Macaca mulatta: one gene and its partner. Each later gene encodes a partner of the first gene's protein in a complex. Links are inferred from orthologs where the notes say so. Each region holds a gene or a part of one and is shown in the gene's direction. Other genes may lie near its edges. The genes, in order: MAPK10 and SH3BP5.

Region 1 (16,001 bases):
TTCTCAAAGCTGCCCAACAATAGAAAGAGCTGCTTAGATACAATGATTTCCATGTTTTTGGAGATGGGCAAACAGAGACTGGTGAAAGTTTTCATGGACGTAGTTTAGAGAGGAATGAATGTTAAATGGAAGTATGGACCCGGTGAACTCTAAGACTTTTTTCAACCTTATTCTGTGAATCTGTCATTTTCTTATGGTATAGCAATTCCGTTTCTGGCTCCGAGTTCTGTGGCGTGAGCTTTCAGTGGTCAATGTTACTTCTAATTTAGTAGATCAGTTGTAGTGGATTCTGGTTTTGCATTTCCTCCTGACAACTAAGATAAAACCCAGCAGAACTCAAAGTTTCAGGGATGGGTTACTTATTTTGTGAGTGCATCATTAGGTATAATGGCAAAAAGAGCCTCTCTCACTTTCTCCTTTGATCTCTAAACTTATGTATTCTACATATGAGAGAAATAGCACCAAATATTTAGATTGCTTTTTCAAAGCAACAGTGTAAAAGCACCCCTATTTTCAAAGCATTGTAAATGTTCATTCTCGGTGTGAAAGCTTCACATATGAATAGCATTTATTTTTGTCTTTGTATTTAAATGCAGTTATTTATGTTTCTAAAATTTCCTGATTGCATTTCTTATTTTGAGCTTTGTTGTTGTTAATGAGAGTACACTTTGATCATCAGCCCACAAGTGCTTTTATGGCAATTAACATCACACCTTAAAAATTGGTTCTTAGTTGGGTGCCATAGTATGTGGCTGTAGTCACAGCTACTAAAGAGACTGCGGCAGGAAGATAGCTTGAGCTCAGGAGTTCAAGACCAGCCGGGGGAATATAGCAAGACTCTGTTTCTAAAAAACAGTAACAAACAAACAAAACACCTGGTTCTTGTGAATGGGTATAGAAAAAAATGTTGATTTAAAACAACCAAAGAACAATGAAGTTTTATAGCTATAAAAAATTAAATATCATATATTAACAGATGAGAAATTCAAGCTCAGAGGGATTAAATGACTTGCTATAGTCTCATGACTAGTGGGAAATTTGAATGTCTGTCTTACTTCTTATTCCACCAACTTACTGAGGCAATTATATTCTATATTCTTGGCAAGATCTTTTTCTTCTCCTTTGCCCTCTTCTCCTTCTCCCCTTCTCCTGTTTCTCCCTTCTCCTTCACTTCCTTCAACTCTTCTTCATCCTTCTAGCATGTAGAATATTCTTATACAAGTCACTTATATCTTTACTTACAGCCTGATTGGCATGTGACCAGAGTATACAAAATCTGAGTAAGATTCCAAAATAGCATTTTCTTTACCTGTGTCCTTAGTCAAGTAGGCAAGAGTTCTAAGGAATCTTTTGCTCTTAATTCTGAGTTGCTCTTGGATCTCTACAGTGCCGCGTATGATGCTGTCCTTGACAGAAATGTGGCCATTAAGAAGCTCAGCAGACCCTTTCAGAACCAAACCCATGCCAAGAGAGCGTACCGGGAGCTGGTCCTCATGAAGTGTGTGAACCATAAAAACGTGAGTTTTGTTATTTTGAAAATTCTGGCGGTGGGAGTTTGTGAGATTGGAAAAAGAAAATGTGTCTGTACTTGAGTAAGAAAGGCTTTCTTTACTTTGCAATTCCTGCCTCTTAAGGTTGTTTATCCTGCCAATATGCTGCATTCAATTTCATTGTCCTCGTGGTAGCTTTCTGCTTAAAAATCACCTAAAAACCATATGATGTGGAAGTGCTGAATTTTATAAATATTTCCCTAGTTAGAAAATTTACCATATTTGGTTATCTTGCTCCAAATTGAGAGCTTCATGCTTTCCAAAAAAGAAACAAGACAAGCAAAGCCAAAAGCCAGGAAAAAAAAAAAAAAAACCCTACAAAGCACCATGCTATATTTCTTTATAATTTAGGTTTAATTTCGATTTATAAGTTAGATTTAATTGTTAACAGTTGAGTTTTATTCATGTTATCTCCTTTTAGTTTCAGCTGTAGTCTGGTGGTGGCCTCTAATTGTTCAGTGAATCCACTGTGTGTTGGCATCTTATTTTTTTCAGGGATGGGCAAGTATGCAGGTACATATTTGCAAAGCACTTGAGAATGGGATCAAGAGCTTTTTCTCATCAGAACTCAGCTGGGTAGACCATTAAAGGACTTTCTTTACTTCAGAATCTAAGCTCCTTCAATCACAGGCCAAGACCTCTAGAATTCATTCTGTGCTCCACTTGTTCCTAGTAAAGATAAATAGGAGAGAATTCATTATTTTAATGAAAACTTTTATTAATAAATAAATTATAATAAATACATTGAATATATTTTACATATAAATACATAATAAATTATAAATAAAATTTTATTTTCTTAAAAATAAAAAAATAATTTTTTTACAAGTAAAATCATTCTAAGGTTGTAGAATACCTTTGTAGAGTTATCTCTACAAAGTTCTTATGTATGAAAATTACACAGAACACATTACCAGCGTGGTTTTATAAACCAGGTATCTTGTCCATAATGCTCGCCATCTACAAGTAGCACTGAGAAGACACAAATGTATTAGTATTAAGTTGAAAGATACTTGAAATGCAAATATGCAGATCTGAGCCCCATGACAGTATTTCTCTTTTCCTCTATTCCTCTACCCTGATGACTTTTTAATTCAGTCACTTGACGTATATGTGTTGAATGAATAAAATGTGCCAGGCACAGATCTAGATGGTGAAGAAAACAGACAAATCCCTGCCCAGGTGAAGCTCATGCTTTATTGGCAAGAGCAAGGCGATCCACAATAAGACAGGTCAATGTGTAAAATGTCAGGTGATGATAAGTGCTATTAAGTAAGGCAAAGCAAACAAGGAAGATTTAAAAATACTGGTCAGTGTGTGGTGGGATAGGGTTACCCATTTAAATAGGCCAAGCAGCAAAGGCCTTACCAAGAAATTAAAATTTTATGAACTGCACACCCATATCTAATATAGCCATGCAACAAACATGAGACTTCTAGAAAGGAATATAGAAATGATAGAAAGGATGGTTCCTATGAAGAGTTATATACTAATTTGTTCTTTCAGTATGTTAAATAAAGGTAAGTGCAAGGTTAGCCACATGATCAATGCAATGTATTCTGTTATGCCAAGGAGGATGGAGCATAACATTGGCAATGGAAAATGGATGGATATAAGCAATGAATCAAATGTATGGAAAGTTTTCCATACATGTATTTATATTTCCCTCATCCTCATGCCAGACCCTGTAATGCAATACAATGTGGAGAAATGCCCACTTGCTTGGTCAGTTTGAGAGAATAATACTTCCCGTTCTTGACTGAAATTTTGGAGACTTATATTTATGAAGCCTAAAAAAGAGTTCCAGATTGCAGTGATAATTTATAAATAGCACCCCACCTGCTACCTTCCTTTTATGTGTGTATGTATGTATGCAGAAGTCTGCGGAAACACATTTCTGGAACTTTTTATGAAGAGGAAATCCACTACAACCAAATGTAAATTCCACATTAATAAGAACTCTGTTAATAGTGTGGAAAGAAAAGGAAGAGTAAAGTAATCTCATTAAATCTTTAATAATACGAAGAAAATCTATTTAGAAAATACTTCTTTATGGTGTTAGTTTGGTCGCCTGTTTTCTGTATTTATTATCAACTGAAAATTAGATTAAAATTGTTATTTAAAAAAAAGAATATAAATATTCAATTCTAGGAACTAGTGGGGCCTGACAAACACGGATTTACATCCGTGTGTCTGAAGATGCTGGGATAAAAGAACTGAGATTCCTCTCTGGAAACTGTTGAATTAAAATGGAAACTTTATAGCTGTGATAATCTCCTTCTACAGAGGCATTTTTAAAATTGGCTCTTGCTAGGAATTAGAATTTATAAGACAGCAAAGGAAGGCTAGAGGAGAACTTCTCGAAGGGTGAAAAGTGATAAAACAAGGTCATAGGAAAAGGGAAAATAAGAACATACAGTAGGGAATAGATCTTGATAAATTATCTTTTAAAACAATAAAACTTGATTTATTTAAAATTGTAATGCTATTTTCTAGATTTCTTAGATTATCTGGATTATTTGTTCACTAGTTGATCTGGGTTAGCATTTATCCATTGTTAAGGAGTGTTCATGTGAATGTTTGTGGGGGGGAATGTGTGCTCTATACACAATCGCTAATGTTTTTGTTTGAACAAATATCAAAATGAAATAAATTACTTTATGAGATTGATAAAGTCCTAGAGAAACAGACCCACTGTAGATGTTACAGTGAAAGATGTACTTCATAGGCAGTTTTCAACACTCACTAGCACTGAGTATACAGAATAACATGGCACTTTAATCACAAGTTTTAAAGATAATTTTAAAACAATTTTATTTCTATATGAATATTTCACACTGAAAGGTTGCTTTAGAAAAGATGATTTTTTAAAAAACTATATGACAACCATTGCCATATATATGTATACTAGAAAATATTGGATGGTACTATGATTATTTTTTGTCAACAATTTCTCAATAAGTTAAAACTACATGAGACATAAAACATTCCATAGAATTGAGTCAATTTCTCAGGTGTTTAATTTCATTTTATGTTTATTACTCCATATGTCTTTATATCATTTATAGAGTTTACTGAAATTCATTGATTGATGCTTTGAAGCTGCTTAAATCTTGACCTTGTACTTATCTATTTTTTATAAAATAGTTGCAACTATCTTGTGAGTATAAGATTTGTATCTGTATATTTTTATATTCATTTCCTGCTGGCACGTTAGTACCAAATATTTAGCTGGAAGAACATTTTGAGTTATTGATCTATGAACTCTATTTGGAAATGTGACAAGGGGTTTTTACAAAATTTGCTTATGCTAGAAGGTAGATTTCTTTACTAGCTAATATATAAAATAAAGCAGGAAACAAAAAGCTTCTAACTGAATGCAGAAAACTTCTAAATAATTTTCTACTAAATTCATCATTGATACCATCTAGAATGCACCTTTCCCCACACATATTATTGGAGCATTAGTTTAATATTTGAGGGTGAGGTAGAAGTAAAAAAATATAAAGTAACAACACAAAAAAGTCATGAAGTAGAATACGACTTTGTTCATCTGGAGGAGAAGTATCCCCTTGCTATGTTTCGCACAGTGTTTTACTGCCACCTCTCTTCTCACGCCACATTTCTTCCTTTTTTGTTTAATCCCCCAAAGGCCCATATTCTGCCACGAGGAATCACACTTGAAAGCAGTGGAACAATTATGCATCTCTCTGATTCTTTCTTCTGCCCAAGAATTGAGCTTTTTAGCTGCATTATTAACCTGAAGACAGATCATCTGTTCTTTCTGAGTATACTTTTCTGTGTCCTGTGAGACAGCTCTAGAAATTTTTCCAATTTCTCCATTTCCACCATAGCATTAGTGAGTGACTTTGAGTTGAAATAAAATTTAAAAATAATACATTCTCTCTCTTTTTTCTTTCTCTCTTTTCCTCTGTCCCTTCCGCTCTCTTTCAGATTATTAGTTTATTAAATGTCTTCACACCCCAGAAAACGCTGGAGGAGTTCCAAGATGTGTAAGTAACAAAACTCATAAAGGAAGGGAGAGCACAGCACTTAGATAGCCCAAGGGAATAACACACACACACACACACACACACACACACACACACACACAGAGTTGAAATCCCTTGTACTGATCAAAGAGAGGTAAGAGGTGGGGTCAAATGAAAGGGGTCCAGTGATAGGTCAAGAAGATTCTGTTTGTGTGTGGAAAGACATTCTGCCTCCTTTTGACCTTGTGGCTTTATATGCTCTGTTGTTCCATACTCTTGGTCACTCAGGAAAGGCTTATTTATTTATGATTATTAATAGATTCCATGAACTTTCTACAATGAGTTAATTTACCTGAAGAAATAGTAATAAGGCTAGGCATGCTGGCTCACGCCTATAATCCCAGCACTTTGGGAGGCCAAGGCAGATGGATCACGAGGTCAGGAGATCGAGACCATCCTGGCCAGCATGGTGAAACCCCCGCCTCTACTGAAAATACAAAAATTAGCCAGGTGTGGTGGTGTGCACCTGTAGACCCAGCTACTTAGGAGGCTGAGGCAGGAGAATTGCTTGAACCTGGGAGACGGAGGTTGCAGTGAGCCGAGATCGCACCACTGTACTCCAGCCTGGGCGACGGAGCGAGACTCCATCTCAAAACAAACAAACAAATAAAAAGAAATAGTAATAAAAGGGACATGAAAATTATCTTTATTCTTTCGATCTTTGTAGTGTCATTGATTTTGTGCAACGTCTACCCAGTAATGACAACAGATGGAGGAGAGGAAGTGATTCCCTAGTACCTTGTCCTTAACACAGATACATTGAATTTAGGAAGAAGCTGTTCTGAATTTTTTTCTTATTTAAAATTATAATACTCACAAAAGAGTTGAGGGTATACAGGGGAAAGTGAAGGCAAAATTAAGGTTAAAAACTCTATGGACACAAACCACACACTAATAAATACTTTTTCTACTAGCAACCTTGTGGTAGGGTTTGTATAGCTAACACACATGCAATACCTGGAAATTCTTAGTCTTGATTCAGTCAAAGGCAGAGCTAAGAAGTTCAGAAGACTTACAGAGTTAGGAGAGAATTCTGACTAACTGAAAGGACTTCATAGATCTCGTGACCTGGAACTAACATTGTGGATTTACCCTTCTAGTTACTTAGTAATGGAACTGATGGATGCCAACTTATGTCAAGTGATTCAGATGGAATTAGACCACGAGCGAATGTCTTACCTGCTGTACCAAATGCTGTGTGGCATTAAGCACCTCCACTCTGCTGGAATTATTCACAGGGTAAGAACACCTTCTCTAGGATTACAATTCAAATGCTTTAAGAGAAGAGGAAGAGTAACTGTAGATTATTTTCTTTATACAGGGGGCATTGGTCAAATATAATATACTTCCTCATTTCTTTGATATTGGAATTGGCACCTAGTTCACTAATTGTAGAAGGAAATTCTAGTAGTTGAGTTTGTTCAATGTTATGTTTTTGGCTCATTGAGATGCAGCTTCTTAGAAGCCTCATGCTTTCAGCTCCTTGATTGGCAGAAGTCATATGTGCAACTGAAATCCATAGTTTGTTTCTGGCAGCATAAAGACAGCTGCCCTGATCTGTTCTTCTGTCAGGCCTAGAAATGATATATATGTTGAAAGATTTATGTTGTCCTAAGGAGAAATGTAACAGAAGACAATCAATGATACATTTTTTTTTTCTAAAACCTCATCCCAAGATCAGTGTAAATTGTGAAAATGATAATACAATTTTTTTCTGGGATTAAAAAACCTTCTGAAGATTTTTTTTAATCCAAAAACTAACAGTTAACTTATTTGTAGCAGTAATCGTTTGCCTTGTTTAGGGCTCTGTAGGTCAGGGGGACCTCATCAGTGCTACTGCAAGATTGCTATGTTGATTGAGTCAATGGAAATAACATGTTTCACTTGATACTGGCTTTTAATTTTTTCCCTTATCCTTATTGTTAGGATTTAAAACCAAGTAACATTGTAGTCAAGTCTGATTGCACATTGAAAATCCTGGACTTTGGACTGGCCAGGACAGCAGGCACAAGCTTCATGATGACTCCATATGTGGTGACACGTTATTACAGAGCCCCGGAGGTCATCCTGGGGATGGGCTACAAGGAGAACGGTAGGGATGCTTCTGGAGAGCAGCATCAAAACCGTGAATAAAATGGGTGCATGTTGTAGATAGCCAAGGGGAATGTTCTCTTTCATGTACATGCTTTTATAAGGTAGGGCTGCCAGATAGCATATTCAGGGTGTTTTTTTTTTTTTTTTTTTTTTAATACTACTGGTAAGAAACACTCATTAAAAATGTGAAGGATGTTATTGACAAGTCAGCTTTGCTAGAAGAGCACTAAATGTTAATAGTGAAAAAGAATTGTAAATGGAGTCTGATTAAACAGTCAAGTGGATGCTGATTAGCACACGTGCCTAGATATTGAGAAAAATTGCTATTTGGGTTGCAGCTCAGCTGAGCATGAGTGTGAAAGCAGGAAGGAATCTACCGCATTTAGCCATTTGGCTTTTATGTCGTATCTCAGACTGATGGCTGTATTTCTAGAAAAAGACAAGCAAAAATGTGACACAAATCCTGGGAGTGAAAATCTTCACAGACAACTTTGAAATAATCCAAATTATTTAAATTGAATAAGAATTTCTGTAATAATTTAAGTTGCTCTGTAAGAAATATTTAGAGTAGCAATTGCCTAATAAATTCTTATATATTCCAAAAATCATAAAAAAGGAAAATGTCAAATTTGACACTACTGCTTTCCTAAAGAAAATCTAATATTCATGAACACTTTAAAATGAAATGAAGGCTGTGGAAGGAATCTTAAAAATGTATTACAATTGAGTGTTGTTGATTAAAACTAAGGATTTATTAAATATCTATTAGAAAGCACTGCAATGTATTATTTTGATGAGACTATATCTTACAAATAATGCACCATATTGAAAAACATATTCAACATACTTAGGAATTAAAATAGTTTTAAATTAGGATTGTAGATGTATTCAATGTATCTTAAATATTTATTTTCTATTCTATTCTATTTAGTTTTAGCAGTCTATTTTAATAAGCTCTATAAAAATAATCAGGGTATTTTTATGTTCAGGTGCTACAGGGTACTTTTGTGAAAATTCCCTGGCCACTGAAGTTTGCAGAAACTTCTTTGTATACTCTTAGATTAGAAGACAGATAATATATGTATGCATTTATACAGAGGAAGTTGAAAAGTCACCTCTTACGAAGGTCAGCTTCACCCTGGTGGGCAATGTCAGAGTTCTGGCACCTTTTGACTCAGAAGAGATGAATCTAGTCCTCCTCACTAGGCAATACCACATCTAATTCATTCAGAAAAGAGGACATTTTTATACTTTCTTCACAACTTATTTTTAAAAAGTCAAAGGAGAAACAAAGTCAAGAATCAAGAATGTACAGGAGACTGGGGTGGGGGAGAGGATCTGAATTTGCCTATTCGGGCTTTTCAGATCTTGGCACTGCAAATAGCTGATATTAAAATCCCTTTCCCTTTCCTCACTAGAAAGAATTGCAAGTCGCTGCCTTAGGTTTTCGACTTCTCTAAGTCCATGGAGGAGGCCTGCCTGGCACCCTGGTGCTGCCCTCCCCACCAACGGGTGGAAGGTTATCATGCAGAAAACCTGCTTGCTCCCACATCAGGCATGCCCTGCTGTCCCCTGCACCTAGCCCCGCCTTCCTTCCCCACGGAACAATTCAGCCAAATGATTCTGCCCAAAAGTTCCCTTTGTCCACAATAAAAAACAAGTTGGAAAGGGATAAAGATTGGTAAGAGAAGGCAAAGCATGTTTTCCTAACAAGTTTGACAATTTGGAAATAAATATATGTATGTAACAATTTTTAACACATTTAATACTTTTTTCACTTTCCTTCCAGATGACTCCTTTATACATGTGCTAATTCATCATATGTCCTTTTTCTTGAAATATTTCGAATGGAAACTAAAACTGATGTTTATTTACAAGAATAAACTTCTGAAGGAAAAGCTAAGTCCCAAATACCAGGAATTGCAATTCTTTTGCCTCTAAACCATGGTTCCAGTTATTTCCTGGTTTCTTGGATTTGGTTGAATTTATCTTGTTTTGTCCCTGCCCCTGGCCCCCTGAAAAAAAGGTGGCCTCTTGTTGCCCTATTCTCTGTAACTGAATAGAAGAGAAAGTGAAAATAGCCACCTCTACAAGTTAATATCGTTTTCTCTGCATCCAGAAAATGACACAGAAAACCCTTTGGTGGCTTTTAGCTGTCACCTGCCATGGAGATACTTTTGGTTTAGCTATTGCTTTTCTCTGTTACCAATGTCACCACTTTGTGGCACTACTGAGAGGCAATGTCCAGAATCCACAAAGTAATGGTTTTTTAAACATTAATTTGAGTTCTAATACTAGACACCGTTTATGTAATAGCGTAGTGTTGGTTTTAATTCACCTTTTGGCCAACTTTTGGTGGGAGGTGAAAATTGTACTTTTAATCAAACTGTTCTTTTTCCTCCTCCTTCAGAAGTCAATTATCTTAGTTAACTTTACTTTCCTCCCTTTTCTTCACTACCCTCTCTCTCCTGTTCTAGTGGATATATGGTCTGTGGGATGCATTATGGGAGAAATGGTTCGCCACAAAATCCTCTTTCCAGGAAGGGACTGTATCCTTGTACCTTTTGCTACAGCTTTACCTGTTTTGTTCTCTCTCCCTTTTAAACACATAATGATTTTACCAGGAGAGTAAAGATAGAAGCAAAAAGTTGGGTAAGTGGTGTTATTGTAATAAAAAAGTGATGATTTCTATAATCTGACCAGTACTGAAGACTACCTACCACAATGATTTCTTTTCATTAAACTTCAATAGGCTTTTTTCTTCTAAAATTACTTTCTTGCCTGCAACTAAAAATAGTAATGCTATTTTCCTTTAATAACAGAGGCCACCAGATCCCAAATGATTAAAATATATTTACCTTTATAACTAGAAAAATAAGTCACTATTTGCGAGTCATTTTCCATCTCCTTTCTAAAACTATTTTGTGCTTCTACAATATTTAGGCATAAAAGTTGCTCTCCTTGCTGACATTCTAAGCTTCTGTCTATGGCTTCATTGATTTAAACTACTCTTGACACTAAATCAAGTCTTTAACAGGTCAATATATCATATCCTCCTCAAAACATGAACTTCTGCATTTAAAAATTGTAATTATTGTTCAAGTTGCTGGTGGTCAGGTGAGTTTAATGTAGACTTCCCTCACCTGACTTGGAGATGTGACATAGACATACATACTTGTTTTCCCAATTAAATTTATAATTTCATAAAGCAATTTTGATTTAAGTTCTACTACTGAGTCCTGCAATAGAGTCCATCAGAAATTTTCCTGTAGAGCTATCTATGATTTGGGATTATCAAATGGACTGATACATTTCTTAAATGGCCATAAGTTAACTCTCTAGTAAAGGTACAGATTTGTGTTTGTAATATATAGACAATAAAGTTTACATATAATAGTAGAATATATTTTTAAAAATACAAAAATACCTTACTACATATACTAGTGCAAATCTAAGTACAACCACAATTGACAACTTTAACAACTACAATACAGGATTGAATTTAGTGTATTTATTACATATGGATGTTTTGGAAATTGGCAATAACCGTGTGACCCATAACTCTATTAACTATTCTATTGGATTGATAAGAAAATTTTATTAAGGAATCCTTTTATTATGTAAGAAATGTTATGATTTTTTTATTTAGGTATTTAAAAAGTCCAAAAGCGAAAACCAAACACAAACAAAAAAATGACTCAACAAGAAGTGGGTACCATAATAAGCTTGTATTTAGGTAGACATTTATTCATTCTGCTGGATATTAATGAGATAGTCTCGAAATTCCACTAGTAATATAAGAGTAATGACATATTCTAGAACTGCACTGTCTAGTTGGTAGCCACTAGCCACATGCGGTTATTCAGCACTTGAAATTATAACTAGTCTAAATTAAAATATGTTTTATATGTAAAATGCATACCAGATTTTGAAGATATTTTTAAAAGCATGTAAAATATATTATTAATAATCTTACATAGATTATGTTGAGGTGATGGCATTTTGAATATATTGGATTAAAGATATATGTTGTTAAAATTAAACTCACCTGGTTTTTATTCTTTTGAATGTGGACATTAAACTTAAAACTACATATGTGATTGGCATTTGTGACTGTCATTTTTCTATTAGACAGTGCTGGTCTAGAAGATAAGAAAACTGCATGGCAACCATTTATTTATAACGAATCTCAAGGTCTTGAATCTCTGTTTGCTCCATGTTCCTTTCCTATATTTAGTGTGAAGTATTATTTTCACCATTAGATTTTATATGGCTACTTAGGAAAATTTATTTCATTTTAAATTACTTATCTATAGTTTGGGGATTAATTATATGCCTAGTATAGTTTATTTGAACAAATTATAATGCACATTCATATTTAAATGTGCTGACTTTATTCAAAAGTAGGAATTACTCTCTTCATGCTTTTGTCTTTGGTATATAATACATTTTAGACAAAGAAGGAACCTCTCAATCAATACTCAGAGTGAATTGCACGGCCATATCTCTTTAATGTACTTGTCAGTGGAAAGCAAAAAGCCAGGATTTCTCATTTTCATGTGACATTTTGTTACATGTCACTTGATTTCACATAGCGAGGTTGTCCTTTGAGATCTTATTTAGCTCTTCAGGCGTTTATGAGGATTGCTTTTCTTCTATTTTGACAGTATTAAATTTAAAAGCCAATAAAAAAGAAAAAAAGTAAAAAGTTTTAAACTCAATCTAACCCTTCAGAAAAACAAACAAAAAATAGCACCATATTGATAATTCTATTTTCTTTTAAAAATTTTTCTCTTGGAAGCCGCCCCCCACCCCCGCTTTTTATCCTAGTTTGTTTTAGAAAAATTTTTGGAGCTGAAATTATTTGTGTGAAAATTAATACATAACATTTATATCCTTGATATGTATGAACCTAGACATTAAAATAATCTCTAATACAAATAATGTAGATTATAATAAAGGTTTTCATTCATTATATAATGTCTGTATTTCTTTATCTCAAGATGATGATTACATAGTACAGCAGTCTTTAATAGCCTAGTGCCATATGTGATAATGACCCTGCAAGTGGACCTAGAAGTTAAAAAAAATTGCATAAAGACATCTACAATGGAAAGCCTTTTGCTTAAGTTAAATTTTACTGAAAAATCAGTAGGTATTTTCCAATGAAATAGGTTAGAAAAAAATGTTTCCTTTTTGAAAATGTTTCCATTTGGATTTCTTAGCCCCTTTTACCTATAATTAAAATTATAACTTAATGTTTAAAGTTATGGTTATATTTAAAAAAATAAACCTATAGAAATTTCAGTTAAATAATGTGCTTTGTCAATTTTGAGTGGAATTGTTTTATTAATCTTTAAGTGAAATTATTATCATTTTATGCACAGGGCTTCCTAGCAACAACTGAGCAGTCAGATAACCTCTCAAACTGTGACTATCAGACACAAGGCTGAGGGCTGATTCAAGTTATTTATCGGCAGAAGAATTACACAATTTTAAGCATGTTGAAATTACTCTAACATTTATTAGAAGAAATAGCAAAGCTAAGTATATGCTAATTGATACCTTGATCTCTTCCAAGATTCTGCAGAAATTTCAAAAAGCAATCAGAGGTTCACATGTCTTTCACCTGGAATTATTCAGAGTAATTTATATTAAATTACTTTGAGGCTGAAAAATGATGTGATAATGCTATCATAATAATCAACATTTTTCTTCTCTCTTCACAGAACTTTTAAACTTGAACCCTAAGCAAAAATAGTTAAAATGTCTTGATGAATCAGAGAATCTCATGAAATTGTCATTGATGACTGAAGTTTAACTACTTTCCCACATTCAAACTATCTTTGCATTTTGAGAAACATTGTGGGGGTTTCTTGGTGGTTGATATGATCTAGATGATATCACAGGGAATTGTCTTGGTTACTAAATTAGAGTGTTGGCAAAATAAAATTGAACAAAATAAACAATACATATTTGCTTTTCTACCTATTAGTTTGCTAATTATTTTAATATCCAGAGGATCACTTCTTAATACTTATTTTTCTTGTGTAAAGTATTTCTTAGTTATACATACACTATCATATACTTAATTTTCACTATAGTTTTATGATTAAAACATTTCATAGCATATATTTTTACAGTGTAGTTTATTTGAACAACATTATAATGCACATTCATATTTAAATGTCTTACTAAACATTCTTTAAACATACTTAAACCCATGCTGACTTTCAAGTTAGAGAGTAGTAAATATGCCAAGTCAATTTTTTTATGTAGTCCAAAGAACAGATAAAAGAAATCAATGACTTTAGCTTCACTCAGATTTTGTTCCTTTCAATAAAATTTACAGGAAAGCAGTTTTACAATGCTTCCTTAGAAGTTTTTTCTAAGAACTATCCAGTCATTGACTGCCTCTACCATCCCAAACCCCAACCAGGGCATGCCATCTTGTTGATTATCAAAGACTCCTATTGTCCCAGTAGAATTTTCTTGAGTCCTTTCCTCAAACCTGCTTCTTTTAGATACATTCTTCAACCTTATTTTTTCCATTCTACTTCAAATGGTAGCACCTTCTTTGAGCAAACCCTGTGATGTTCCTTTATCTAAGTTCTTGGCCAATATTCTCTGGATATAAAATTAAAGACAGGCACGCTGCACACATTTGAAAATTCTAGACCTCAAGTATATTATATCCAAAGCTAACAGCTGAACTGCTAAAATAGCTCCTCTTGCCTTTCCCTCTGAAGAACAAGAAATTGCAATTAGAATGAAAGAGATATACACATAACCTTGCCAGGGATCCAAGTTATTAAGGAACAGGTAAATGGTTTTCCAAAAATATATTTGAAGAAATAAGAAAAACATCCTCAAATTAACTGAATGCTATATCTTTTTAAAGTTTGAATATGAACATTAGGAAGGATCAAAGTAAAATGAACAAATTTGTGGTTACAGATTGTTATATCCATCTAGCACAGAGATACTTTTAAATTCTTCTTACCTCTTTGAAATGATAGTGCTTAATTGCTAATAAACTTTTGCAACTAACAACTTACTATACAGTCTAACTCTGTTTCTTAGAATTAAGACAATACAGGGTTATTTCAAACAATATAAAATTTATGGCTTTAAATAAAGTTAGGATGAAAAAATTTAGTAGGCATTCTTTCACATCTCTAAACAAATTGCACATAATTATAAACATATATTTAAAAATAAAATTATTATTTATTTGAATTTGTTTAAAAGAATACATTTTGACCACTAGTGTGCCTGCTGCTTTTCTCTTTTATTATTATTTTATGAAAATTCAAGACAGGATTCACCAGAATGGAAGCTGGAGATTCCGAGGTTGTAAAGAAATAAAAGCAAGTTTAATAGGTAGAATCAAGGAGAAAGTCTTTTTCTGATTTCTTGGCATTACAATATTTAGCGTTAAGTTTTGTGAATTGTTGCTTATTTATGTTTATGTATGTCAGTAGTCTTTTAGAATTCTATCTTTGAACTGAAGTTTAATACAAGGTCCTTTTGTTAAATAACTAAATTTAAGACTTAGTTAACTAATTTTAAAAGAAATGCTCTAACTTTATAACTGATAACTTTGTAACTTACAATTTTTATAAAATTATAACAAATAATTTTCAAAGAAATGTTCTGATTTTAGAAAACGATATTAATTCTTCATGCTATTGTGTGTGGAGTCATTCATTGAAAGAAAATTTGTCTAAATTCTACACTAAATGAAAATATACTTAGGTGTGTTAAGGAGAAGTCTCAGAAATTGTGACAGAAGAATTACATAATCCCCTAGAGAGGAAACATTTTCCAGGATAGAAGCTCACATAGTCCAAAAATTATTTAATCGTGGATCATGATCTAAGCTATTAGACGGAGTATAGAAGTAGCAATATAGTTCTTTATTTATTTAGATTTAACTTCCAGGGCTTACATTATATCATTTCTGTCTCTTGGTTAGAAGTAGGAAAAAAATAATTTAGTATAAGCTAATTTCTGACAAATAATATGACATGAGATGTTCAGAGGTCTTCACTCTGAAAATTAACCATATTTTGGTAACACCAAAACTTACTCAACATTTCTTCTAAGGAAAGTGACTCAGTATCTGAGTGTTACAATTGCAAGTGAATCTGCCTTCTGCCTATGGGAATGATAGAATGATGATGGAAGAATGTAATGAATCAGAATTTTAAAAGCCACCAGAATTCTACCTTGGCAGCATTAGTGTACAGAACTCTTATAGAGATCCAAATGCTGTATCGTATTGTCTCAGAAAGCATAAAAA
Region 2 (16,451 bases), on another chromosome or scaffold:
AAATAAAGGTTCTCATTAGAGGGAAGTGGCCACATTGGAAGACAATTTGGCAACACACTGATGTCACTGAATCACTGAATTAAACAGATGCCTCTTTAATGTGAAGGCTCTGCTCCCTTTCAAAGAACTGGCTTCTATAGACCCTTGAATTCTTAGAACCAATCATTTGGGGTCAAAAAATATTGTTGAAGGGTTTATGGTCTACCTTAAAATCCTCTTCCACCTTGCTGTATGCCATCATCCTTAGGGGTCGCTGGGAAGAGGAGAGTCGGCAGGAAGACCTACGGAGCCAGCATTCCGGCAACACCGTACCATGGGGGGCTCTGGGGAGAGGTCAGACATTTACCTGTGCGTGGCCTGCCATGTGTAAGTGGTCTGCCAATAGGATTCTGAGGTTTATTTGTGATTACATGCCATCCTAAAGGGGCCAGCCAGCCACTCCTCCCATCTCCTCCATACTCTTGCCAATCAGAGATGTCTGCATTTTCATGTTAGATCACTGTTTTCATGTTTAGTTTTTTTTTTTTTTTTTTTTCCAGGGGACCTTGCTAGTGCAGGGGATGGGGGTGGGGTGTGGTGGCTATGCGCCCATGCATGAGTCCCTCCCCACCCCACGCTGCTGCAAGCCTCCTTCATGTTAGTTTTAACTGCTGGCTCAAATTTATAAAGGCTATGTCAGCCAGGCAGCACATGCCCCAGGCCTGATCCCATCAGTCGCTTCCAGTTTGCAACCTCTGACCTAAGGTGCCACGTAAATATCACTGGTGGAGAAAGAGGGTATGCTGGTTGTCAGTTTCTTCTGACATTGACACCAGAGTGTGATGTGAATGCAGATTCATTCTTAGTCCAGACAGCAGTTTCTGTTCTAGGAGTTAACAGGTAGTTACAAAGCATTTTTACTTTACTTTACTTTATTTATTTAGAAACAGGGTCCCTATCTGTTGTCCAGGCTGGAATGCAGTAGTGCAGTCTTGGTTCACTTCAGCCTCAACCTCCTGGGTGCAAGCAATCCTCCCATCTCAGGCTCTGGAGTAGTTAGGACTACAGGTGCACACCACCACACCCCCTAACTAATTTTTGTATTTTTTTGCAGAGATGGGGTCTTGCTATGTTGTCCAGGCTGGTGTTGAACTCCAGCTTCAAGTGATCCTCCCACTTTGGCCTCCCAAAGTGCTGAGACTGCAGGTGTGAGCCAGCACACCTAGCTCACAAAGCATTAAAAAAAATGGTGTTGCAGGGAATCTTAATTTAAATGGCATTGAAGTTTGACAGAAAGAGTCTTAACTTCACAATGAGGGATTCATGTGGCTGCTGCTTTGGGGCACCTTTTTTTTTTTTTTTTTTTTTTTTTGAGATAGGGTTTCACTCTGTCACCCAGGCGACAGTACCATGGCACTTTCTTAGCTCACTTCTGCCTCGAGCTCCTGATCTCAAGTGATCCTCCTTCCTCACCCTCCTGGGTAGTTAGGACTATAGGCACGCACCACCACACTCCGCTGATTTTTAAACATTTTTTGGTAGAGGTGTGGGGAGGCTCTTACTATGTTGCTCAGGCTGGTCTTGAATTCCTGGCCTCAAGCCATCCTCCTCCCTTTGCCTCTCAAAGTGCTGGGATTACAGGTGTGAGACACTACACCGGGCCTGGGGCCCAGGTTTCATGAGGGCCTGTCTCCCCAAGTAAAAGACTAGGAATTTGTCATCTACATGTTTGGGACCCTCAAACTGGCCCTGGAAATAGTGCATGCATATAGTAGGGGCTGAAAAGTGTACTGAATTAATGTTGCTTTCTGCAGATCTAGATCTAAAAACAAAAAACAAAACAAAAATACAAATGAATTAATGTTGCTGACCACTTTCACTTGCAAACTTCACTTTAAAAACGTTAAATAAAAACTCTTGGCCGGGTGCGATGGCTCACGCCTGTAATCCCAGCACTTTGGGAGACTGAGGCAGGTGGATCAGGAGTTCAAGATCAGCCTAGCCAACATGGTGAAACTTCATCTCTACTAAAAATATAAAAATTAGCTGGGTGTGGTGGCAGGCACCTGTAATCCCAGCTACACAGGAGGCTGAGGCAGGAGAATGGCTTGAACCCAGGAGGCAGAGGTTGCAGTGAGCTGAGATCATGCCACTGCACTCCAGCCTGGGTGACATAGTGAGACTCTGTCCCCCGCAAAAAACAAACAAAACTAAAAAAACCCCAACTCTTTGGCTGAGCATGGTGGCTCACGCCTGTAATCCCAGCACTTTATCTTAGCTACTGAGTACAGGTGCAAAGTAGTAAGACCGTGGGATTGAACCAGGGTTGGGATTATGTCAAGTGCTTACCGTGGTCATGGAGAAGCGTGAGGGAGTTGTGGTTGGCTGCAGCTGTGGTGATTTTAATGATGGACAATGGAATCTAAGCTAGATCAAATGGGAAGTGTGGACATAAGAGGGTGAGGGACTATAAAAGAGTCTAGGGAGCCATGATGAAGCCCTGAATCAAGGGTTAGAAAGATGGAAATGATTTGGAGACTGTACTGTTGGAAAATCCACTCGTCCTTGCTGACTGGGTTCATTGGGACTCTCAAACCACAGGTGGGTCATCAGCACAGCCTTGCAATTATAATATATTCCCATGGTCAACTCAGTCACCAACTCTCCTGGCCAGCTCTTTCACAAAGCCTCTCTCCTCCAACCTCCAATGCCCTTTGCCCTCCATCCCCTCATTCTCAGCTGATGACGTGGCTCATTATTTTGCTGAAAAAACAGAAGCAATCAGAAAAGGCTGATCATCAGGCTAATGGATCTCCTTTGTCTCTTCTGACCCTAGCTCCTCAATGTCCACCGAGTCAATTTCTCATACACTAGCCAGAGTTATTATATGAGCACTCACTCAGAACAAAATCCAAATTCCTTACCATGACCTAAAGCATCTCCATGGTCTACCCACATGCCTGCCTCTGATTTCATCTCCCTCCCTGTCTCCCTGGCTGTGTCCGTCCTATCCACATGGATCTCCTTGCTTTTTTTGCCAACACCCAAGACATATTCCCACCTCAGGACCTTTGCACATGCTGCTTCAGTCTCTGGAGTGTTCTTTCCCCAAAAGTATATGTGGTATGCTTTCTCATTTCTTTCTCTTTTTTTTCTGAGACGGAGTTTCACTCTTATCACCCACGCTGGAGTGCAATGGTGCGATCTCAGCTCATTACAACCTCTGCCTCCTGGGTTCAGGTGATTCTCCTGCCTCAACCTCCAGAGTAGCAGGGATTACAGGCATGAGCCACCACACCTGACCAGTATGCATTATTTTAAATTTATCTTTAAATTCCACAAAACAATAATAAACATATCCTTTTTGTGAAAAATAAAAGCATTACTGAGAAACGAAGTTTCCTTTGATCCCCTGCCTCCATCCAAGCCAATCCTAGGCCACTCCCTGCTCCCTTTTTCCCAGAGGTAGCCACTCTTTACTGGGTATAAATCCTTCCAGGCCTTTTGCTATGCATTTATGTGCACTACATATGTGCCAATAGGGAATATATCCAGTTGTCCCTTGATTTCCCTGGGGATTAGTTTCTGGACCCCTGTAATGCTAAAATCTGAAATGCTTACATCCCCTGTAGAAAATGGCAGTCTTTACATGTAACCTACATACAACCTCCTGTATACTTTATTTATTTTTTCATTAAAAACATGGTTTTTTTGTTTGTTTGTTTTTTGTTTTATGAGATAGGGTCTCCCTCTGTCACCTGGGCTGGAGTGCAGTGGCATGATCAGGGGTCACTGCAGCTTTGACTTCCCGGGCTCAAGTGATCTACCTCAGCCTCCAGAGTAGCTGGAACTACAGGCATGTGCTACCATGCCTTGCTAATTTAAAACAATTTTTATTAGAGATGAGGTGTTTTTTTTTTTCTTTTCTTTTTTTTTTTTTTGAGAGAAAGTCTCACTCTGTCATCCAGGCTGGAGTGCAGTGGCACCATCTCAGTTCACTGCAACCTCTGCCTCTCAGGTTCAAGTGATTCTTCTGCCTCAGCCTCCCGAGTAGCTGGGATTACAGGCGTGCACCACCATACCCGGCTAAGTTTTGTATTTTTAGTAAGACGGGGTTTCACCGTGTTGCCCTGGCTGGTCTCAAACTCCTGCCTCGGCCTCCCAAAGTGCTAGGATTACAGATGTGAGCCACTACACCTGGCCTAGAGACGAGGTCTTGCTTTGTTGCCCAGGCTGGTCTCAAACGCCTGGCCTCAAGTGATCCTCCCTCCTGCCTTGGCCTCCCAAAGGACTGAGATTACAGGCATGAGCCACCACATCTGGCCCCTCCTGTATACTTTATTATTTATATATTTATTTATTTTGAGACAGGTCTTGCTGTCACCTAAGCTGGAGGGCAGTGGTGCAATCTCAGCTCACCGCAACCTCCGCCTCCTGGGCTTAAGCAATCTTCCCATCTCAGCCTCCCAAATAGCTGCAACTACAGGCATGAGCTACCACACTTGGCTGATTTTTTGTAGAGATGGTGTTTTACCATGTTGTCCAGGCTGGTCTTGAACTCCTGAGCTCAAGCAGCCCACCTGCCTCGGCTTCCCAAAGTGTTGAGATTACAGGCATGAACCACCATGAGCAGCCCCTCCTGTATACTTTAAATCATCTCCACATTTCTTACCTGCAATACCTAATACAATACAAATATGTACATAGTTCTCATATACTGTATTTTTTTTTTCTTTTCTAGAGAGAGAGCCAGTCTTGCTTTGTTGCCCAGGCTGGTCTGGAACTCCTGGCCTCAAGTGATCCTCCTGCCTCAGCCTCCCAAAATGCTAGGATTACAGGTGTAAGCCACCACTCCTGGCCATGTATTTTTAAATATGTATTTTTTTAATTGTTGTGTTTTTTTCCCCCAAATATTTTCTATCTGTGGTTAGTCGAATTTACACATGTAGAACCTGAGAGGCTGTGGAGGGTTGACTGTATATAGTACTGCCTGTGTTTTATTTGTTTTTCTTATTTTAGCTTTAGAAACACTATTGGGATTAACACTATAGCTGGTCCAGATCTCCAAAAAATAAGACAACAGAAGTCTGAACTGATGTTCTTGAGCAGTTGGCCTATGTCTCACAGATACATTTTGCTCTTGACCTAAGCTGAAGCAGGAATGTAATTTGGAGTTTGTCATTTGCGATGGAGAGGATGGGGTTCTGCTAGCTAAGAAGCATTTATCATAGTCAGGGCTGACCCCAGAGGCCTCTGTTTATTTCAAACTCTGTCTCTCAGTTTATTCAGAGCTAGGATGTACCTGCAAAGTTGGAGGCTCAATTCCAAGCCACCAGGGAAGATTGGTGGCTCCTGTGTTCCAAAGTGACCCCTATGGCTATCTTGTCCCTGGCTTCGTCTATCATTGGAAAACCAAAAGCAACTATGTCTTTAGCAAGGAACTTTGAAACACCTCTCACAGAATTGCTGACTCATCCTTGATTTAAAGAGCAATGAGCAGGTCTGACCTTTTTAGAAACAAACCATGGCACTACCTCCAGAAAATAGGACAATTTTCCTTTGACAGTGGACTATAGTGCCAGCGTGTATGGGGTGGTGCCTTTCCCTAGGAGTAACCCTCTAGCCTACTTTTTGATAAAACCACCAGAAGCAGGACTATTTATTTATTTGAGAAGGTGTCTGGCTGTATTGCCCAGGCTGGTCTTGAACTCCTGTCCTCAAGTGATCCTTGTATCCTGGCATCTCAAAGAGCTGGGATTACAGATATGAGCTACCATGTCGTGCCAGACACAGGTTTTGTAAGGTGGTTTTGATGATAGGTTCTCAGAAAGAAGCTCCATTCTCAAGCAAATTTGTCCACCAAACTCAGAGCAGATGGGCTACAGGCCTCCGTGTAGAACATGTGCACGTTCTGCATTTCTCAAAGGAAGGAGATGTGAGCAGCTATGTGCTCACCTGCTTTGCCAAGGTCATCCTTTGGGTTCCCCTGACATCACAGTGGCCCTGACATTTCATAAAAGCACACACATGCCTCTTCAGTTTGGTCTTTTCGGATGCTGTGTCTGCCAGGCCAACTCTGTCTCCCTACTTGTTGATGGTGGGCAGGAAGTCTCACTAATTCATAAATTCTTGGCCAGAGTGTGCCCATCAACAGGGGTTACACTTGCCACCTCCTTAAAAAGGCTGTGTCTGCCCACAGGCATCCCAGCTCAATGCATTCTCCATGCTTCCTGGCTATTCAGGTAGGACCGCCGCACCTCTGTGTTTGGTACGGGGCTCGCCCAGAGAGGCCGCAGCCTTCGGCGATGCATCCGTGCACGGAGCTGCAGCTGGCTCTCCTCTCTACACTCCTGTGTCTATATAAGCGCACATTTTAGTTTGCTTTTCTGGGGAAATCTTTGAGTAGGTGCCATTCCCAAGGTTCGCTCAAGGGGAGGAATGTGCCTTTGGGTACAGGGTTTCGGCAAGTCTTGGTCCTGAGGTCCAGGGTCACTAAGCCCAGGCTTCGGAAGGCGACTTCAGCGTGAAAACACCCCACGCCTCCTACCACACACAACGCGCTTCGGAGGAGGGCGGGAGAAGGGGACTCCCGAAAGCGGGAGGCTTGCGTTACGCAGTTGAGATATATCCGGGCTGCTAAGTTACAAGGGGGTGGGGGCTCTCCTAATTTGCCACCTTGGAGATGTGGAGGGAGCTGGGGTTTTGTGACGGAGACCTGGGTAGCTGGGACTGGCCGAGGAGCGCGCGGCCGGGGCGGGACGGGGGCGGAGCGGGCGCTGCGCTGACTGCCGCGGCAGAAAGGGGGCGGCCGCGCCCATTTCCTCTGCTCCGCCGCGGCCAGAGGGATCCGCATCGGCGAGCTGTGCCTCCCGGGTGTCGGCCCCGGCGGCTCCCTGATCGTGCCCGGCTGTGGCGAGGCGGCTCCAGCCCAGCCTGTGGCGGCCGCTACCTCCAGGGCGCTCCGGAGCCCACTGCGCGGCGCGCGTGGCGACTGCCCGCATGGACGCGGCACTGAAGCGGAGCCGCTCGGAGGAGCCAGCCGAGCTCCTGCCGCCTGCACGGGACGAGGAGGAGGAGGAGGAAAAGGGGATGGAGCAGGGGCTGGAGGAGGAAGAAGAGGTGGATCCCCGAATCCAGGTAGGGCGCGCGGGGTCACCCCGCATCCGGGCTTCGCGAGGGCTGCTGCGGAGGTCGGCGTCTACGCGTACATCCACTTCGCAGCCCCCAGTGACTGTGGTCTGGGGACTGGCGGCCACATACGGTGGCAGGAGACGATCTGTATGCTCTGTTTCATCGTCTCCACAATGAGGAGGCTACAGTGCCCGCGTGGATGCGGCCTGACTCTATTGCGGGGAGCCCCCCGCAGACCCCTAGCAGGATCGGGGTCGCCGCAGAGTGCCTGGTGGTTCGGGCGGATGTGCAACAAAGGGAAAAAGGGGGCGGGGGCGCCATGGTATCCTCGGGGGTACCCCCCGCCCGGCCACCACGGCACCGCGGGCAAGGCATGGCCTCCAGGCTCTGCGAGGAGGGGTCGCCCGCGTGGGCGCCGGGCACCGTAGGCGGGTGGGCGTTGCCCGCCCCTGCAGCGCGGGCTGGCACTGGTGCCCCGGGTGCAGAGTCCTCACCTGCCAAGGTGCCCGGCCTGAGCCGTTTTCCTTCTCTGATTCATTGTTAGAGAACTGAGCGTCTTACTGTCACCACCGGCTCAACGTTCCGCCTGGCCTGAAATTGCTTAAAACCCTGCTTTTCCTTGTTGTGAGGCTGGGCATGAACAGAAATCAGGGACAACTGATGCGCAAAGCTGACGCGTGGAGGCGGCGAGGGGATTGGGCTGGCTGACTGTGCCTCCATTTCCAAGAGAGATGATTAAAAAACAATTTCCAAGCCGAGATCTAGGAGTGACAGTTTAACCTCTTCACCCCGAAGCAAAAAGCAGAGCAGATCCCTTTCTAAGACCCGTTTTATTCTACCTTTTCAGTAAATCATTTTTAAAAAATTGCTTTTAAGCATGCTCTGTAATTTCTGGATCCCTAATTGGTTTTTTAGTGCACAGATCAATTTAAAAGCTCACTTAACTCAGTGGTTAGGGTTTAAATGAATTGTTTTGTCAGGTTAGCAAGATAAAGATCAGGTGGAAAAAAAAAACCTTGCATTAGGAATGCTATTAATTAAAATAATTGGTTTGGAATAAATCGTGTGTTATTGGTATGGGATTATGTTAGCAAGATCCTTTGTTTGCATAGTAAAGATGAGTTAAGTTCATGTTGGATGCTTTTTACAAAATGTCAGTTTGTAAATGTTTATTGAAATGAATGGGATTAAAGCTAGTTTAAAACATCCAGCTAAGTAGGTTGAATAATTGGCAGTGTGAAAAGATTTTCACCCTTTACAGAAAAATAATTCTGGTGAGTTAATACCAGAATTCTGCCCTTGATGATTTCACTGGGTTTATATTTTTGGCCTGGCCTTGCTTATTGTCTTTTATTGTTTTCTAAGCAAAGTTCTTGCTCAAGGCAGATGGTGCTGTTTTGATGAGGCCATTAAACCATTTGTAACAGGTGGGATTTACCTGAAGGCACATACCTGGAATATTTGACCTCTGACAAATTCCAAATGTCTCTGAAGACATTGTCAAAAAGGATACCCTCAAGAAAATGGTTTCAGAAATGCTGACATTCATTTGCTTTTCTAGCTAAGCCTCAACTGTTTGCCTTAAGAATTAATACCAATTCTTCCCTTTTCCTGCAAACTGGGCTGGGATAATTTTTCAGGTTATGGACTGAGTTATATTGGAAACAAAAGACGGATCCCGTAAGTCTTTTTCTCTCCCTCTTTTCTTCACCAGGGAGAACTGGAGAAGTTAAATCAGTCCACGGATGATATCAACAGACGGGAGACTGAACTCGAGGTACAGAGAGCTGAGTTCCTGTTCTTGGTGAAGTGATGTCACTCACACCGGCACAAGGCTGGTTAATTTTGTCTTCATAGCTGGAGGGTTATTGCTGGACCCCCCTCCTTGGGAGTTGAGCAACAGCTCCCTGACAGAATAAAATACACCACTGAGCTCAACCTGTGGGCGGAACGCATGTGGATCCAATTTCACATGTTGTTTTTCATTATGGAAGCTCCATGGGGCCTAAATCAAGTCTGTGCAGAGCGTTACACAACGCCTAAGCCCCAAGTTTTCATGTGACTGAAAGGATAGAGAGGAAAATTAGCTGAACTCTTTAATGAAGAATAATGAATGAGCTCACAAAATCTCTTACATGTTCAGGGCGGTTCCTGCCATTTGTCCTGGAAAGGTTGTGTTGTTTCCTCTGACTTCGACCATTTCTTGACTTTCCTGTCCTAATAACTCACCCCCACCTTCTGCTTTCCTGCTCATTTCTTTATTGTCTGCTTGTGCATAGAATATAATTATAATGGTAACAAAAAGCTGTTTAGACTGGAAAGGCCTTTCCTACTGGGAAAAATCTTGGAAGACTAAAACTTGATTTAGGTTTCATGTGCATTTTCCAACCGGAGTGTAAACAAGTTAGCATTCATCACAGCCTCTGATTAGTTTCCACCCCTTTCCAGTAGTGGTTGCTTTTACCACCCATCAGCAAATTTGAACAACCACTGTATGTATTCAGGAGACTGAATTGACTGTCAGAGCCTGGAAGGGACTCTCAGCGCAGCTTCCCAGTGCAGGGAGCTGTTGGCAAAGTCTGTTTCTGTAGCAGGAGAAATAGCAAAAGTCAGTGGAAGGGACAAGAAGCACATGGTCCCTAAGAGTGAGGGTGTGGGAGACAGGAATATAATCTGCCAGGATTCACAGGCAGCCTTGATTTCTGCTGCATGCGTAGGCCCTGGAGTTACCAAATCTGGATGTAGCAATGTGGATTAAAAAGTCTGTTGCTCTGAGCTGTGTGAAGGGTTATCGCTCACCACCTCCATTTCCATCGTAGGTGTACAAGAACACGGGCTGTCCTTCTCCCTAAGTGAAGTAAAATCTAGTTTATTTACATTTCTTTCACTTATGAATTGAGTCTGTCTGTGATGTGCGGTAACCGAAACCTCTTAGGATCTCAGATTTCTAATGCATTAAACAACAAAACCCTTACCATTCCTATAGGGCTTTAGCATTTACAGACTGTTTTTTACACGTTTTATCTCATTCCATCCTGTCACACCAGCCTAGAGCTATGCTGTCCCATATGGTAGCCATGTGCAACGTATGGCTATTTGAATTTAATTAATTTTTTTTTTTTTTCGACACAGAGTCTAACTCTGTCGCCCAGGTTGGGGTGCAGTGGTGCGATGTCTGCTCTCTGCAACCTCCACCTCCTGGGCTCAAGTGATTCTCATTCCTCAGCTTCCTGAGTAGTTGGGATAACAGGTGTGTACCACCATGCCTGGCTAATGAGTTTAATTAAAATTAAGTAAGACAAAATTCTGTTCCTCAATCATAATAGCCACGTTTCAAGAGCCCAGTTGCCACTATATTAAACAGTCTAGTTGCCACTGTATTAAACTACTATCATCATAGAATGTTCTGGCCTGGAGAACCAGGAGGGGAGGGACTATTTGCTTTCCAGATAAGGACTCAGAGGCTTAGCATTTTGTGATGATGCCTCAGAGGCAGGGCTCCCATCTTATAGTCACAGGCATTTTCCAGATCTCCTCCAGTTCCTGCATTCTATTATCCCAGTGCAGTGGTGCAATCACAGCTCACTGCAACCTCAAACTCCTGGGTTCAGGCAATCCTCCTGCATCATCCTCCCTGGTAGCTGAGACTACAGGTGCATGCCACTATACCCGGCTAATTTTTCATATTTTTAAACTTTTTTGTAAAGATGGGATCTTGCTCTGTTGACCAGGCTGTTCTTGAACTCCAGGCCTCAAAGTGATCCTCCCACCTTGACCTCCCAAAGTGCTGGGATCACAGGCATGAGTTGCCATACCCATCCTGGAAATATTCTTCTTCCTACCCTCCCCCACTCTCCCCACCCCCCACACCAAGGCATTGATTGATTCTAATTGCTCGCCTACTATGTGCTGGCCACTGTTCTGGGTAATGAACAAGATGGCCCACATCTCAGCCCCTAGGGTGCTTACCTTCTTGGGGTGAGATTGGTTAATCTGTTAAATTCTTTTTAGCCTGACTTTTGAATCCTATTTCTGAATACACTTAGGTATTTGTGTGTCACAGGAAGCCACCGGACAGGTGTTTCCTGCTTGACTCTGGAGAGCATTTGGAGCCGTGTGAGAGGCCAACTGGAGGGTGTGAGGGGGGGTGGCCGGGGCTGGGCTGGGTTGCTGGCTGGCTTTTTCACGGTATTATAACCAAGACTGACTCATAGAAATATAATACGGGCTACATAAGCAATGAAAAACTCCCTAGTAGACACATTAAAAATGAAAAATAAACAGCTGAAATGAATTTAAGTAGTTTGTGTAACCCGGAATATCCAAGACAGTACAATTTCAACATGGACTTGCTATTAAACAATTACTGATATTTTACATATATTTTTATAGTAAGTCTTTAAGATCTTTGGCATATTTTACACTTAGGGCACATTTCACTTGAGACTAGACATGTTTCAAGTGTTAGTAGCTACATGTGGCACTGGGAGGCACAGGTTTAATAGGTGTTTCTGTCACAAAGGAGCCAGGTGGGATTTCACCCTTCACGATGGGCACCAGCTGCTTGTCAGATACTGTTGACCACTGCATTTATGTGGGTGAACGAGACAAAGACCTTGCCCTCCAGGAGTTTACGTTTTTGGTTGGAGTGAGGAGCAGAGAGGGGGTAATAATTACTGGTGGTAATAGCTACAGTAAGAAATGTGACAGACACTGGAGGGGCGCTGCGGGAGGACATCTGAGCAGATGCCTGCAGGAGAGCCCCTGCAGAGGAACAGGTAGAGTGAGCCACTGGGGTGGTCAAGGGGAGTATGCCCAAGGATAGGGGGCAGGAAAATGAGCCATTTTAATATACAGTCGAGTCTTTTGTTTTTTTCCCGCGACGGAGTCTCACTCTGTCACCCAGGCTGGAGTGCAGTGGCGCGATCTCGGCTCACTGCAACCTCTGCCTCCCGGGTTCAAGCGATTCTCTTGCCTCAGCCTCCTGAGTAGTAGCTGGGATTACAGGCGCCCGCCACCATGCCCAGCTAATTTTTGTATTTTTAGTAGAGACAGGGTTTCACCATGTTGGCCAGGCTGGTCTTGAACTGGCTGATCTTGAACTCCTGACCTCATGTCGTCATCACCGCCCCCCACCCCCGCCCCCGCTGCCCCGCCCCACCCATCTCAGCCTCCCAAAGTGCTGGGATTACAGGTGTGAGCCACCGTGCCCCGTCTTGTTTTTGCAGTACTTGTATTCCATAAAGTTGTGAACACTGAATTAGTGAATACGGAACCACTGTTGTAGGGAAAATGCAGGGCTCGGAGCAGGCCTGTGGTCACATCATTTTCATCAACTGATCAATATTAATCTTTTCAGTTTCCATTAAAAGACACTTTATTTACTATATACTATTGATTCATTAGCATTGAACTCAGGGCCGCTTACCTAACATGTATTTTCCCTGTAAGCCATATCACAGCCTGCTTATGCTCAGGAGTGCTCACAGACAGCACTTCGGCACTCCCCTTCTGGGCCATTTTTAACAGCAAAATCACCAAAGACAGCACAGAAGTGTGAAAGACATGGCACTAAGTAGACCATGAAAAGGACACTTGTTTACAGGCTGGGCACTGAAAGGAGGAGGTGGAGTGTCGCTCCTGCGCGTGTCGGTGAGTGAACCTGAAAGGGCTGCGTGTATTGATTTTGGGGTTACGTAACAATTTTAGTGAGTAGATGAATTCACAAGTATGGAATTGGCAAATAATGAAATAGTCTACTTTCAGGGACCCCAGGGGAAGGTATTTTGCTGTCCCCATTTCCTTTCCCTTTGCCTTTTGATTGCGATCTGGGGCATTCAGCACCTCTCATGGTTTTTGTCTGATGAAGCTGAATTGGTGACCAGGCTTGTGGTCGCTGCGAATGTGCTCACACACTGTGCCGCAGTTGTCCGTGGGTAGCTGTAGACCAGGGTGTTGCTCCTGAGGTCCACATTTAACACCCCATTTCTTGTCTTGGCTGTTTAAATTCCAGATTGCAAAGGGGCCTCTGGCAGCCGCCTGCCGTGTCACTTGGATGTCTGTCTCCTCCTGCAACCTGGGTTTGCCTCTGACCTTATTTTGAACAGTGTTGGGTCTCCTTTGCACTCTGATTTATATCAGCGAAAGCCAACCTTTTTAAGCTGTTAAAGGAGGAACCTTTTAACCAGAGAGGCCTTGGATATAAGCCTGATGTTTTAAGTTAGGAAAATAAACATTTTCCCACAGATCCAGTGATCCGTCAGCTTTATTTATTTATTAATGAGACAGGGTCTTGTTCTGTCACTCAGGCTGGAGTGCAGTGGCACAGCCTCGGCTCACTGCAGACTCTGCCTCCCGGGTTCAAGTGATTCTCTAGCTTCAGCCTCCCAAGTAGCTGGGACCAAAGGCGCACACCACCACGCCTGGCTAATTTTTGCATTTTTAGTAGAGATGGGTTTTGCAATGTTGGCCGGGCAGGTTTCAAACTCCTGAGCTGAAAGCAATCTGCCTCCCTTGGCCTTCCAAAATGCTGGGATTACAGGCGTGAACCACTGCGCCTGACCGGCTTTTTAATTCACTAAGTATTTATTGAGCACCTACTATGTGATGGGGCAGTTTTCGGTGATGGGGACAGAGCAGTGAAGAGACTGGACTGAAGTCCCTGCTCTTCCGAGGCTTACATTGCAGAGGGGGTGGAAAATGCAATAAAGAGTTAAAGTATGCACAGTAGGTTATCTGATGTATGCGAAGGAGGCAAAGAGCTGGAAGGGGACTCAGCTGGTGGGTGTTTGGAGGCAAGGGGAGGGAGAGGAATGCGGTATTATCTAGAGAGAGTGAGCAAGCCTCAGGCCATGTGGGGGAAGAACATTCCAGCTGGAGGGCGCATCTGTGCTAAGATGGGAGTGGGCCTGGCCTAGCTGAGGACCAGCAAGGGGGCCTTGTGCCAGGCTTGGGTGAGTAATGGATGGAAGAGGAGGTGATGAGTCAGAGATAAATGGGTCATTCAGGTGTGTGACAGCCCTGCCAGGTGAGGTAATAAAACTCAATATGCTGATGTAATTTTAAAATGCCTAGTATATAGGTCTCTTTTCAAATGTTTGTTAAAACAGATGCCACACTGAGAATTTCTAAGTCTAATCAGAATAAAGATTTGTAATATTTCATGCCCATATATATGTGGTTTTAAGCACAACATGTAGTGTTTTCATCATTTCCCGTGCTTGCTCTGAAAGTGGGCTGTTCCAGGACTGTGAAGGGGTCCTTTCTTTTCCTCGTTGGTCAGGTCAGGTGGGAATAGTTTCTGCTTATACTGGCAGGGTGGTTTGAAAAATCTTTGTTTCTGAGTGTCTGTGTTCCTCAAACTCGCTTAAGCCAGCACTCATTATCTCTGCCTTTCCTCCCTCCAAAAACCAGCAAATGCTTTCTCTTAAAAACAAAACCTAAAACTTTTTTTTTTTGGACCCAAGGAGCAATGGTAGAACCAAAATCTCTGTTTTGAGCTTAGAAACTTGGAGGTGAGGGTGAACTGGAAGCCACCTGGCCCTTCTCTCATGAATTATTAGCACAAATCAGGAGAAAAATTCCTCTATCAAAGGACAGTGATACGTCCCAGCACTTTCTCCATTAAAACATGTGTGGGTGGAATGCACTAGGGACTAGGTTCTGCAAGACTAAGTTTTGCTTTGAAGAAACTGCTAGGGAATGTTTGAAGCAATAGATAGACCGGGGGAGGGAGGAGTAACTGTTTCTTGAAGCTGCACCAGATTCCAGGCCTGGTGGCAGACTGCCTGGTCTGGGCTGGCAGAGTCCCTGCATCCCCGACCTTCTTGTACACAGGTGAGATCTGGTTGAAGTAAACATTGGCCTGCAGGCCTTCCTGCAGCAAATACTGTGTGGGGCGCTGGGGACCAGGGTGGTCAACAGATAATCAGGCATGTCCCTGCCTCATGGAGCTTGCCATCTCCTGGATCCAAGCGAGCAATTGCAGTGGGGGGAGGGGGATTCTGGGAGAGTCACTCAGGGCCCTTTGGGAGGCCAAAGCTTTGTTGAAATAGGGGGCATCAGAGTTGAGGTCTGCAGACCCCAAATAGTCTGAAGATAACATCCAGAGCAGCCTTAAAGTGGAAGAGGAAGAGAGCTGATGGTACAGACGTCGTCTGCAGGTTGAGGAAGGCTGGGGTGGGGAGAGGTGGAGTGTTAACAGGACCTTTGGTGATTGACTGATTGTAAAGAAAAAACGTGTGTGGTCTTTGCGTCTCTTCAGGGTAGCCTGAGCCAGGGCTGCTGCGCTGCCCCCACGGCTCTGACTTGAAGTTTGGCCATCAGAATGGTGGTACTTAAGGTCTTGGGCTTCAGTGATCCCCCCAGACTGCTTATTTCCCTTTGGGGAAGGAGGTGAGTGGGGAAACATTTGAAACTTGAAGAGTGACCTAGCTATAGGACAGCTGGCAAAGCTTGGCCTCTGGAGCCAGACTGTCTGACGCTGAATCCCAGCTCCCCTTGTCATAGCTGTGGGACCTCTGGCAGGTTATGTAATCTCTGTGCCTCAGTTTCTTCTTCTTTAAAATAGGATCGTGTCTCAGTTTTTGCTGTGAAATAACCAAAGCCCAAAGCCATGGGGAAGGGCAGGTGGAGGGAAGACAGCGGTCTTGACATCAGGTGATACAGGTTGAAATCAGAGGTCTGCTGACTTCTAGGGATACTTGGCACATGGAAGCCGCAGTCTTCTCATCTTTGAATCTGGGGGCTGTGATTCTTGCCTACATCCCTGGGTGACCTGGAGGATGGTAAGGGATGCTGTTTGAGAGCTCCCCAGCCTGTTGCTTGGCTGGCAGGGAGGGCTGAGACCCGCTGAGCGCTGCAAACAGAGAAGGTTCCAATGAGATGTCCACTGGGGTCAAACTGGCCATGGGGCCTGGCAGTAGCTCCGTTCTCTTCCCCCAGGTCCTGCCATGACCTTTCTTTGTCAGATTGGCCCTGGGAAAGGGGCCAGAGGGAGGGCTCGTACAGGCCAGGATTGCAGTGAGATGGACTTTGTCGTCACTGGATCAGCAGGGCATTGCGCTGTGGCCTGTCTGGTATGATGTGACAGTTAGTTTCCCTGTGTGAGCCCTGCTTGATTTATTTAATTAGTTAATTTTATTTTTTGAGACAGGGTCTCAAAAACTGGAGTGCAATGGTTTGATCTCAGCTCACTGCCACCACGGCCTCCTAGGTTCAAGCGATTTTCGTGCCTTAGCCTCCTGAGTAGCTGGGATTACAGGCATGTGCCACCACACCCGGCTAATTTTTGTGTTTTTGGTAGGGACGGGGTTTTGCCATTTTGGCCAGGCTGGTCAACT

Evidence for each region.
Region 2: the proteins of MAPK10 (region 1) and SH3BP5 are in contact, whole or in part, in a crystal structure (PDB 4H3B), measured with the Homo sapiens proteins. The link is inferred for Macaca mulatta from reciprocal best matches to the Homo sapiens genes MAPK10 and SH3BP5. Residues at the interface, in NP_620448.1 of Homo sapiens: Lys121, Asp150, Ala151, Gln155, Val156, Met159, Leu161, Glu164, Arg165, Tyr168, Tyr171, Val197, Lys198, Ser199, Asp200, Cys201, Trp362, Asp364, Glu367; in NP_004835.2 of Homo sapiens: Val341, Val342, Arg343, Pro344, Gly345, Ser346, Leu347, Asp348, Leu349, Pro350.

The regions. Positions count from the first base shown.
Region 1 is NC_133410.1:95,407,696-95,423,696, reverse strand, and holds part of MAPK10 (mitogen-activated protein kinase 10), read left to right. Parts: intron 1-1,387; coding exon 1,388-1,517; intron 1,518-5,504; coding exon 5,505-5,563; intron 5,564-6,702; coding exon 6,703-6,841; intron 6,842-7,528; coding exon 7,529-7,694; intron 7,695-10,173; coding exon 10,174-10,245; intron 10,246-16,001. UniProt on the Homo sapiens protein: Serine/threonine-protein kinase involved in various processes such as neuronal proliferation, differentiation, migration and programmed cell death.
Region 2 is NC_133407.1:33,148,249-33,164,699, forward strand, and holds the start of SH3BP5 (SH3 domain-binding protein 5), read left to right. Parts: upstream 1-6,800; 5' UTR 6,801-6,978; coding exon 6,979-7,116; intron 7,117-8,824; coding exon 8,825-8,887; intron 8,888-16,451. UniProt on the Homo sapiens protein: Functions as a guanine nucleotide exchange factor (GEF) with specificity for RAB11A and RAB25. Inhibits the auto- and transphosphorylation activity of BTK. Plays a negative regulatory role in BTK-related cytoplasmic signaling in B-cells.